Drosophila melanogaster: one gene and its partner. The protein of the gene in region 1 interacts with the protein of each later gene in a pairwise test. Each region holds a gene or a part of one and is shown on either strand. Other genes may lie near its edges.

Region 1 (4,707 bases):
AAAGAGTAGCTAACTGGGACAGACCTTCACTCGGTTCGTGGGCAACCTCCATGCTGGGACTGGTTTGGATTTGTGAAGAGCCACTGGTATTCTGCGACCCTAATGACCCTTTGCTCTCAGTAATATATGAAGTGTTGGGCCTGCGCGAATCAAGTCCTGGCGAGGGATTAGCTAACTGAGGGAGGCTTTTCCTAAGCTTTTCGGCAATATCTTTGCCGAGAATGGACAGCATGCAGGCCTTGAAAGTCGACGTGCAAGGTTTTAATTTGTATGCGTATTTATATCGGATCCTCGGAGTAATGTAAAACGCCAGGTAATAGTCAAGGGCACATTCCTGGACATCCTTGCTCGCATAATTAGCATCCAGTTGCCTCATTTGCTCCACAATGTCCGATAAGTTTGCCATATTTTTCTTAAATACCTCGAAGCTGACGATGGAACTGTGAAATATTTATAGTAAACAACGAGTATTTGGAAAGTGTCCCAAACTTACTTTTTCGTAAGGGATTTCATTGCAGTAAGCTCCGCCACAGTCTTGACCGCTTTTTTGTCCAGTGGTTTCCCAGATTCAAGCAACTTTTCCAAAGGGATTTCTGTAGTTGCATTGAAGATATTCGTAGGGGATCGCTTTTCTGGATACATGTAAAAGCGGTTGTAGAACCTTTGTAGTGTAAGAAGACGACGCTCATCGTCGGACAAGAGGACCAGGCAGTGTTCTATGCTCCTGACAATTTTTTTGAACAGTAACATCTTATTGATGCACTGTAGGAATACATCAAAGGATACCGGAAAGATGAAGGCGCCACATCTGAAATGAGTCAAAATTGGTTAATCTGCTCTGCTCGAAAATAATATTACCCACCTCTCCACATTAACAATTACGTCTGGAGATTCCGATCCTGATGGTTTACATTCAACTGCAACGCCTTCAACTGCATCATGGGACTTCGCGGTTTCAGCGAGCGTCGTCAACTGGCTGCCTTCAACTAAGACTTCGGGTTGCTCTACTTGAGATGGTCCTGCAGCTGCTACGTTTGCAACATCGTTTTGTGAAATTCCTCCTGGCTCCGGTACTTTAAGCAAGTTGTCGCGTGTCCGCCTGGGACACGGCGCCACCTTGACAGGGAACCTTGCCCGTATGCTGGGATTCCGGTAGAACTCTTTGTAGTACCATCTGCTCCACTCGACCAACGTTCTATTGTCTCCATTGGCAGTTTTCAACTCACTTGCAATTTCAGACAAATTAACGATTAACTTTTGAAATGCCGCAAAGGACACTGGATACATGTTGCTCCTGAAATCAAACAATATTTAATGTTAAGATGTAAAAGATTCACAGTAACCTTACGACTTGTTCTATGCAAGTAACGTTATTTGTTGTTTATCATAAACATCACATTTCAATACCGCGAAATAAACTAGGCTGAATATCACAGTGTGACTGTGCTGCAAAATGACAATATTTATCGATAGCGAACGACTAAATATTTTCACTACGAGAACTCGAACTTACTTAAAATTTTACAAGCCAGTTAATACTTTTGTGCTTTATTGTTTATTGTTTATTTATTTATTGTGCTGATTTAAACAGGGTTATAATTTCATAGCTAGCTAATTTTACATGTTATGATTTTCCAAATGACTCCAAATTTGTAAGGTGTGCTAGGTATAGTAGGTGGTATATTCCAGCGGTCGCCGCACGGTCACACTCGAGCTGCGATTCGGAGGGCTAGAAAATCATCGATGTTTACGTACATCGATAGTTGGCAGGGCTTTGCTTTGTTTTGCAAATTCCAAGCGGAGTTGAGGCTGTGACAGATTGCGGGTGCGAGTTGTGAAGCAACATTGCGTCATCATCAGCTCCTGGACAGAAAAGAGCTCAGGGAACGAGGCAGGTCCGCGCCCGGGGACAAGGAAAGCCTTTAGCCACGAGGACGCAGAGGGATCAAAGGCGGAGGAGGAGGCGGTGGCCGTGTCACGGGAGCTGGATCAAATGGCCAGCACCACTGGAAGTGCCCCCAGCCTGGGACCCCCCCAGAGCGGGAGTGGTGGCTCTGGCACATTGGAGGGCACGCTAAGCAAGTGGACGAATGTGATGAAGGGCTGGCAGTACCGCTTCTTCGTTCTGGACGAGAATGCTGGACTGCTGTCCTATTACACGGTGAGTGGCTGCAGTGCACCTCCTGACTGAAACCCATATCGCACCCAGAACGAACTCCTCATGGCCCGCAGCCTTATCTTATCTGCTATAGATACATTTGGATACACATACACACTTGTTGGTACCCCTTTATTGCGTGATTTGTTGACAGGAGATTACTTTTTTGAGTCTGACTGAGGGGTCTGACTCTTGCGCCGCTGCGAGGCTTGATAGGCACTATTATAGAAGTCGTAAAAGCCGTAGAACATGCCAAGAATGACGGTGGTGAAGTAGAGAAGCACTAAGGGCGGCATGCCGCACAATACCAGCTGGAAAGCAACCTGCGTGAGGATAAGAACGAACTGCGTCATCTGAATCACTGTGATGCACTTCTTCACTGGAGTTAGGGCCTGCACCAAGGTCTTATCCGCCACTGCCGCCACAAAGTAGTACGAGTACATGATAACGTGAACGATAGAATTCAAGAACACGCAGAAGTAAGCAGCAGAACCTGTACAATTGAACGCATTTATGAAAATAGTCGGTCACCCAGCAGCCGGCTAGCTTACCATTTTCGTTGAAGTTGATCAGTGCGTAGACCAGCGTTACCGTGGAGAAGTGATGAAAGATGTGCAGCTTGGACACCTGGTTTTGTTTCTTGCGAAGCACAAAGATCACGGTTTCAATCAGCTCAGAGATCTTCAGCCAGAAGAGAAAGTAGGCCAAGTTGTAGTACCGCCTCACGAGCTCTGGGCTGCTCCCGATGTCGCGGCACTTCCAAAAGATGTATATGGTGTTGTCCGTAATGTACAGGACCTGCGAGAGAAAAGCAATTAGCCGATGCTGCTGCTGCTGTACAATTTATAAATATCCACCTCTTTGATAGCATATATGCAGGAAACCACCTGGATGAAATTATGTAGCAAGATAAGTCGCTTGAGCTCGTAAGGTTTGCGCCATTCCATGAAACTATAAGCGAGGTATTAAAGGTCTTCTTTCTTATATAAGTAAGCCAGCGAACCCGCTGAATTGCTAATGTCAAGTCCACTGACCCACATGCAAACAAGCGACGCTGACATTAGCATGTGAACTTACTGCGGACCCGCTTTGGTGACGAAGTACAGATAGAGGACCAGCACTGTGATCATGTACCAGGGATCCTTATAAATCGTAGGAACGTTCACCACCGGCTGCAAATTTATACCTACAATTTTATTGAAACCATCAGACAGTTTTTTGACAAATCCAAGAGGAGCTCACTTGCTGACGCCTCCATTTCGCTTCTTTGTGTTGAGCTTCCGCTGGCCTGTATCCTTTAGGTGGCGTGGGACTGGTGGACTGCAGCTCTACCGCCTTGACCGCTGGCGAACATTTAAGCGTGAACAGCACGCCGAACACTGTTTTTATATTCCCCAAGCATTGATTAGAATACATTAATTTATAGCAGGCGTAATAGCCCTTTGACAGTATGAGCTGCGATTTAATGAACTTTCCTAATTCCGACTGCATTTCTGTTACAGTCGAAGGATAAGATGATAAAGGGCGTGAGGCGCGGTTGTGTTCGTTTAAAGGATGCGCTAATCGGAATCGACGACCAGGAGGACAACACATTCACAATCACTGTGGACCATAAGACCTTCCACTTTCAGGTAAGTGTCTCCTTAGTAAATGGAAATAAAGATTGTCTAAGGAAAGCTTGATCAATGTTTTGCAGTTTCACTAATAGTTCATAATTCACCGTAATAGTTTAAGTACGACGTTGTTTGTTTTATGAACTGAAGAACCAACTCATTTTAAATTCCACACTTGCATTGATTTTTTATGACGTCTAGTGGTATACGTAAGCAAAAACTATGTAGATCAAGAGGGCAGCACGTTTCTTTTTGCAATTCGCGTTTTCGTCCCAAAAGATATAAAGCAAGCATGATGGCCTATCCGCTTTGCTTGCCAAGAGTTTTCGTCCTCTTACCGGAAAAGGGTATCCGGGCATCGACCCAGAAACCACTGTCTGGTCCTCACGTTCCACCTTTTGTTTGACTTTGTTGCCTTGATGTAACGATAAAACTTTTTCCAATACCCATACACAAGCAAAGGAGCCCACTAAACTTGCCAACTTTCCAAACGCTTGCAGGCGCGACACAACGAGGAGCGGGAGCAGTGGGTGCGCCGCCTGGAGGACACCATTCGACGCCACGCGAACCGGTCGCGTCTGTGGGACAGCCAAAGCGCTTTCTACATCGCCGGTGGCTACACGAAGGAAGGGGGCGGGAGCGGAACAGGCGGCAGAAGACCCAACCACCTGGAGTTGGTGGCGCGCCGTGTTTCCGAGGCAGATGCCTACCTCCAGCTGATGATTGAGCAAACGAACGTGAGTATTGTGCCACGTAATGCAGGCATTATGCAATTTATTGTCATTTTTTCTTGTTCTCTGTCCTGCCCAGTTACTGGACAAACGCATCGCGGAGCTGACCGATCCGGCGGAGCAGTCTAAGTGCAAGGCACTCCAGGACAACGCAAATGTAAGTAAGCAGAGGTTACACGTTTCCCTCGGACTCAGTAACTACAAC
Region 2 (3,848 bases), on another chromosome or scaffold:
CTAAATTGTAACTAAAGCTGGCAGTCATGCAATCCACTTTGAGTGCACTTAACTAAGCTGGACGTTTTTAAAGAAAAGTTGATCAAATATACATATATAGAATGTATATGTCAAGATGAAAAGTGTAAAATTTAATTAGGTGCAAGATGATTTGGGTGAGTCATTATAAGTTCCAAGAATTTTCTATGCTTTATTTATAGCTCGTAAATCAAAAAGTCTATAAAAATGTAAATGTCTATGCTACGAATTAAGCCAATTAGTTTGTGATGAAATCTAGAAAAGCAACATATTTAAATGTACAAAATATGAAAATGGTCCTCTTTACTTTGCTGAGTGTTATCATATTATTGCAATTTTAAATTATTATCATGGCTAGTGCTTATCAAACAATAACTTAACGTAATAAAGTGCAGGCATAGATTAAGAATTAGCTGCACTCTTTTTTTTCTCGGCAATATGTTCATAATTATTTATCTTGCTGTATTTTAATATATTTATACTTCTACGTGTGCTTTCGTAATACATAGATAACATAAATATAGTTATAACATAGACAATTTTGAGATGGACGACCTTTGCCCAGATCCAATTGGATGTCAATAGAACCTAACTAACTAAATGGCTATTCCTATGTGGTAGTAGCAACTACATCCTCACCTGGGAATGCTGATCAGGTAGCTGAGGAGACGCCGCAGATCCTCCGGCTTGAGGCGATCGCGACGGGGCGTGGCCGGGAAGCAGAGGAGCGGTCCGCCGCGCCGGTCCCGTCCGCCCGTGAGGAAGACGACCCGTTCCTGGAGGAGGGTCAGGAGATCCCTGGCCCGCTGGCCGTCCATGCCGTCGGCAGGGGAAGGGGGAGGGGTGGTTAAAGCGGCCGGGGGTTAATCACTGGAGGGGTTAAACTGGGGGGTCTCCGCCCGTTTTTTAATCCGACGATGGGCACTGCAGCATAACGAATTCCAGCCTCGAATTTCACTTGTTTTGGCTCTGTTATTAGTTATTATTATGAACCGCTGCTTTTGCTCATTGATTTTCGCAAATTTCTCGCTGGCATTTTCATGGTCACTCTTTTGCTGTTGTGTTTGTGTTGTTGCGGTTTTCGTGTGTTTGCCCGTGTGTGCGTGTGTGTGTGTGGGTGGAAAATGAGTGGGGAAGCAGAGATGCAGATTAGCAATGGGTATTTCACTTGGTTTTCTAAATGCTACACATAATTTGCACACAATTTGTGTAGTTTTCCTATTTTTAGATGCAAGGAGTGGAGTTTTTTTCTTCAGTCACCCTCGCACTTTCGTGCGTGTGGGAGTGAGAGGGAGATACAAACAGACGGGCAAACACACACACTCGCATGGGGGTGCATACATATGCGTATGTGTATGTGGCATGTGCACACATGTATACATATGTACTCCCGTTAAATGTCATAAATCACACGCAGCATAAAAACATCAAATAGAACTCGCGCAGGCAGGCACACAAGTTGAAACATTATTTGGAAATATACACACTCAACACAACATTCGCCACTGCGAACGGGCGAAAATCCGCTATGTTTTAATTGCCTCAATTTGAACACAAACTCCAGACGTATATATAGCCTGTATATACATATGTATATGCTATGTATATCTGTATCATCACATCATCCGCAAGCAGTTCTCTTGCGTCTTGGCTCTTCTTCTTGCCACTGCTTGTGCCACCAAATTGATTTTTTTCACTCGCGCTGCTTTTGTTTTTCACACGCTTTCCCACCGGTAAAATCACCCAAGTTACCGTTGCACGCAGTTCGCGACTTGACGCGGGCTAAGCTAAAATTTTCATTTTTCAAGAAACCGCGATTTTACGAACGGGCGCTCTCTGTTTTGTTTAAACAAATTGGATTTTGCGAAACGACAAGTGTGACCAGATGCCGAAACGGCTTACAAACTGAATTTTCAGCCTTTTTTAATCGAGCACACCGATTGCGTGCCTCGATAGGTGTTAATAATCGATAGTCATAAGGCATCGCAATTGAGTAGAGTTTTTCTTAAAAAAGTCTACATAGTTACGCTCATGATTATCTCAAAATGATACCTATGATTAAATATTAAATATTTTGACTTTTTTTAAATAATATGTAAAAATACCAACTATCTACGATAACAGGCATCGATTGTACTACTATCGATGCTCGCCTGCTAGCATAAGCTCGCTGATACAACACTGTCTGTTGTTCATTAGCTTCCGTTTCTGCCGAGTTTTACCAAATAAACCCGAATCAAATTAATATACCTGCAAACATTTTACGCAAAATCAAGAACTCGCTTCGCCAGCGCAAGAAGAAGCACCGCCCACGGCAGGCCACGCCCCCAGTGCGCCCCGATCCCAAGGACGCCGCCGCCAAAATGGAGAGCAACTTGAACAGGATCATTCGTGAATCGGCCAAACTGAAACTCTGCGGTCAGCTCAGCAAATACACCAATGTGATGAAGGGTGAGCAAACTTTCACCTTTGGAGCAGCACCTTCAAGCTCTCCATCCCATAGAATCCCCGCTAGAACCGCTTCCCTAATCGCAGCATCCACTTTGCAGGATGGCAGTACCGTTGGTTTACGGTGGACGCCAAGACAGGATCGCTGAGCTACTACCTGTGCGACTCGTCGACGGTGGGCGACGACATCGCGCCCTCGCCCCACGTCCTGGCCAGTGCTCCCAGGGGCCAGGTGCAGCTGGCCGGCGCAGTGGTGTACCCGAGTGACGAGGACTCTAGGACGTTCGCCATCGCCTGCGCCTCCGGCGATACGGTAAAGCTGAGGGCCAACGATGCCAGGGCCCGTCAGGAGTGGGTGGATGGCCTGCGGGCGGTGGTCGAGAGTCACATGAAGGCGATGGACATCAGCAACTCGTCGCCGCTTCCTCCGCGGGAATTGCTTGCCGCCTCCGATGCCATGGTTTCAGCGCGCCAAGCTCTGTTTCTCACGGAACAATGGTAACTGCACAGTGATTCGTAGCTAACGCCGCATTACCTCCTGCAATCTATAAATCTATCCCCAAACCCTTCCAGCAACGCTTCTCTGGCCAGGGCCATCGAGAGCATCGACTGCGCTTCCTTCTCGCCAACGGATCCCGATCTTCTTTTGCTCAAGGCGATCTCCACGGCCAGCACCCAGTGCCTGCACCAGTGCTTGGGATTACTGCAACGCCACCAGGAGATCAACCAGCCGGTGGCAGAGGCCGTGCCTCTTGTGCTTTGAGAGATGCATGCTGCAAGGATAGTCTCCAGTTTCCAGTTTCCACTAAGATATGCCCAATAAACACTAAGCCAAACCGCAATGCAAAATCAAGAATCAAGATTCAAGACAACGGTTTGGTAAGCAATGAGAAGACTTTCAGGTTGGGTTACTTTTCAATGTTTTTATAAAATACTTTTTGTTCGTTTCGGTTTTCCGTTTTTAAGTTTTTATGTTTTTTGTTTTCTTCGATTAATTAGAACATTCATTTCGACATTTAAAGTTAATTTGAACATAAAGTTTGCACTAAAGTTTATAGAAAATGTTGAGTTTTGGACGTGGACTTGGACGCTGATCCAGATCGTACAAAGATACACAATATCCAGGAGATTTAGCCGCTAACTCTTGCCACTGCTTATATTACATCCTATTCCGAAAGTAATTCGTTAAGTTTCGATACGTGTGGGAACATCAAAGTCTATTGGGGGAACTGGGATTACATAGATACTTATATATCGTGTGTGCTTATATACGGGCTATGGCTATGGTAGATGTTCTTGCGTATGCAAAAATAGTCATGTTTATCATTATCATCGTAATTAACTCTTGTCCGATTAATCAATTGTGTGCTTGCCAAACCAAA

The links. Proteins that work in one complex are often made in the same cells at the same time.
Region 2: the proteins of CG1513 (region 1) and CG9205 interact in a two-hybrid assay, tested with the Drosophila melanogaster proteins (one large-scale study listed by BioGRID).

Annotation. Positions count from the first base shown.
Region 1 is NT_033778.4:9,888,689-9,893,395, reverse strand, and holds the start of CG1513 (uncharacterized protein), read left to right. Parts: upstream 1-1,706; 5' UTR 1,707-1,993; coding exon 1,994-2,161; intron 2,162-2,254; exon of another isoform or gene 2,255-2,316; coding exon of another isoform or gene 2,317-2,651; intron 2,652-2,709; coding exon of another isoform or gene 2,710-2,956; intron 2,957-3,015; coding exon of another isoform or gene 3,016-3,109; intron 3,110-3,235; coding exon of another isoform or gene 3,236-3,344; intron 3,345-3,400; coding exon of another isoform or gene 3,401-3,416; exon of another isoform or gene 3,417-3,518; intron 3,519-3,660; coding exon 3,661-3,789; intron 3,790-3,910; exon of another isoform or gene 3,911-4,271; coding exon 4,272-4,508; exon of another isoform or gene 4,509-4,581; coding exon 4,582-4,659; exon of another isoform or gene 4,660-4,674; coding exon of another isoform or gene 4,675-4,707. Other genes in the region: tea (telomere ends associated), read right to left, coding at 1-440, 494-808, 863-1,287; CG30008 (uncharacterized protein), read right to left, coding at 2,317-2,651, 2,710-2,956, 3,016-3,109, 3,236-3,344, 3,401-3,416; CG12923 (uncharacterized protein), read right to left, coding at 4,675-4,707.
Region 2 is NT_037436.4:1,032,993-1,036,840, forward strand, and holds CG9205 (uncharacterized protein), read left to right. Parts: upstream 1-1,704; 5' UTR 1,705-1,893; intron 1,894-2,192; exon of another isoform or gene 2,193-2,217; 5' UTR 2,218-2,381; coding exon 2,382-2,469; intron 2,470-2,567; coding exon 2,568-2,964; intron 2,965-3,039; coding exon 3,040-3,229; 3' UTR 3,230-3,306; downstream 3,307-3,848. Other genes in the region: trio, read right to left, coding at 658-836.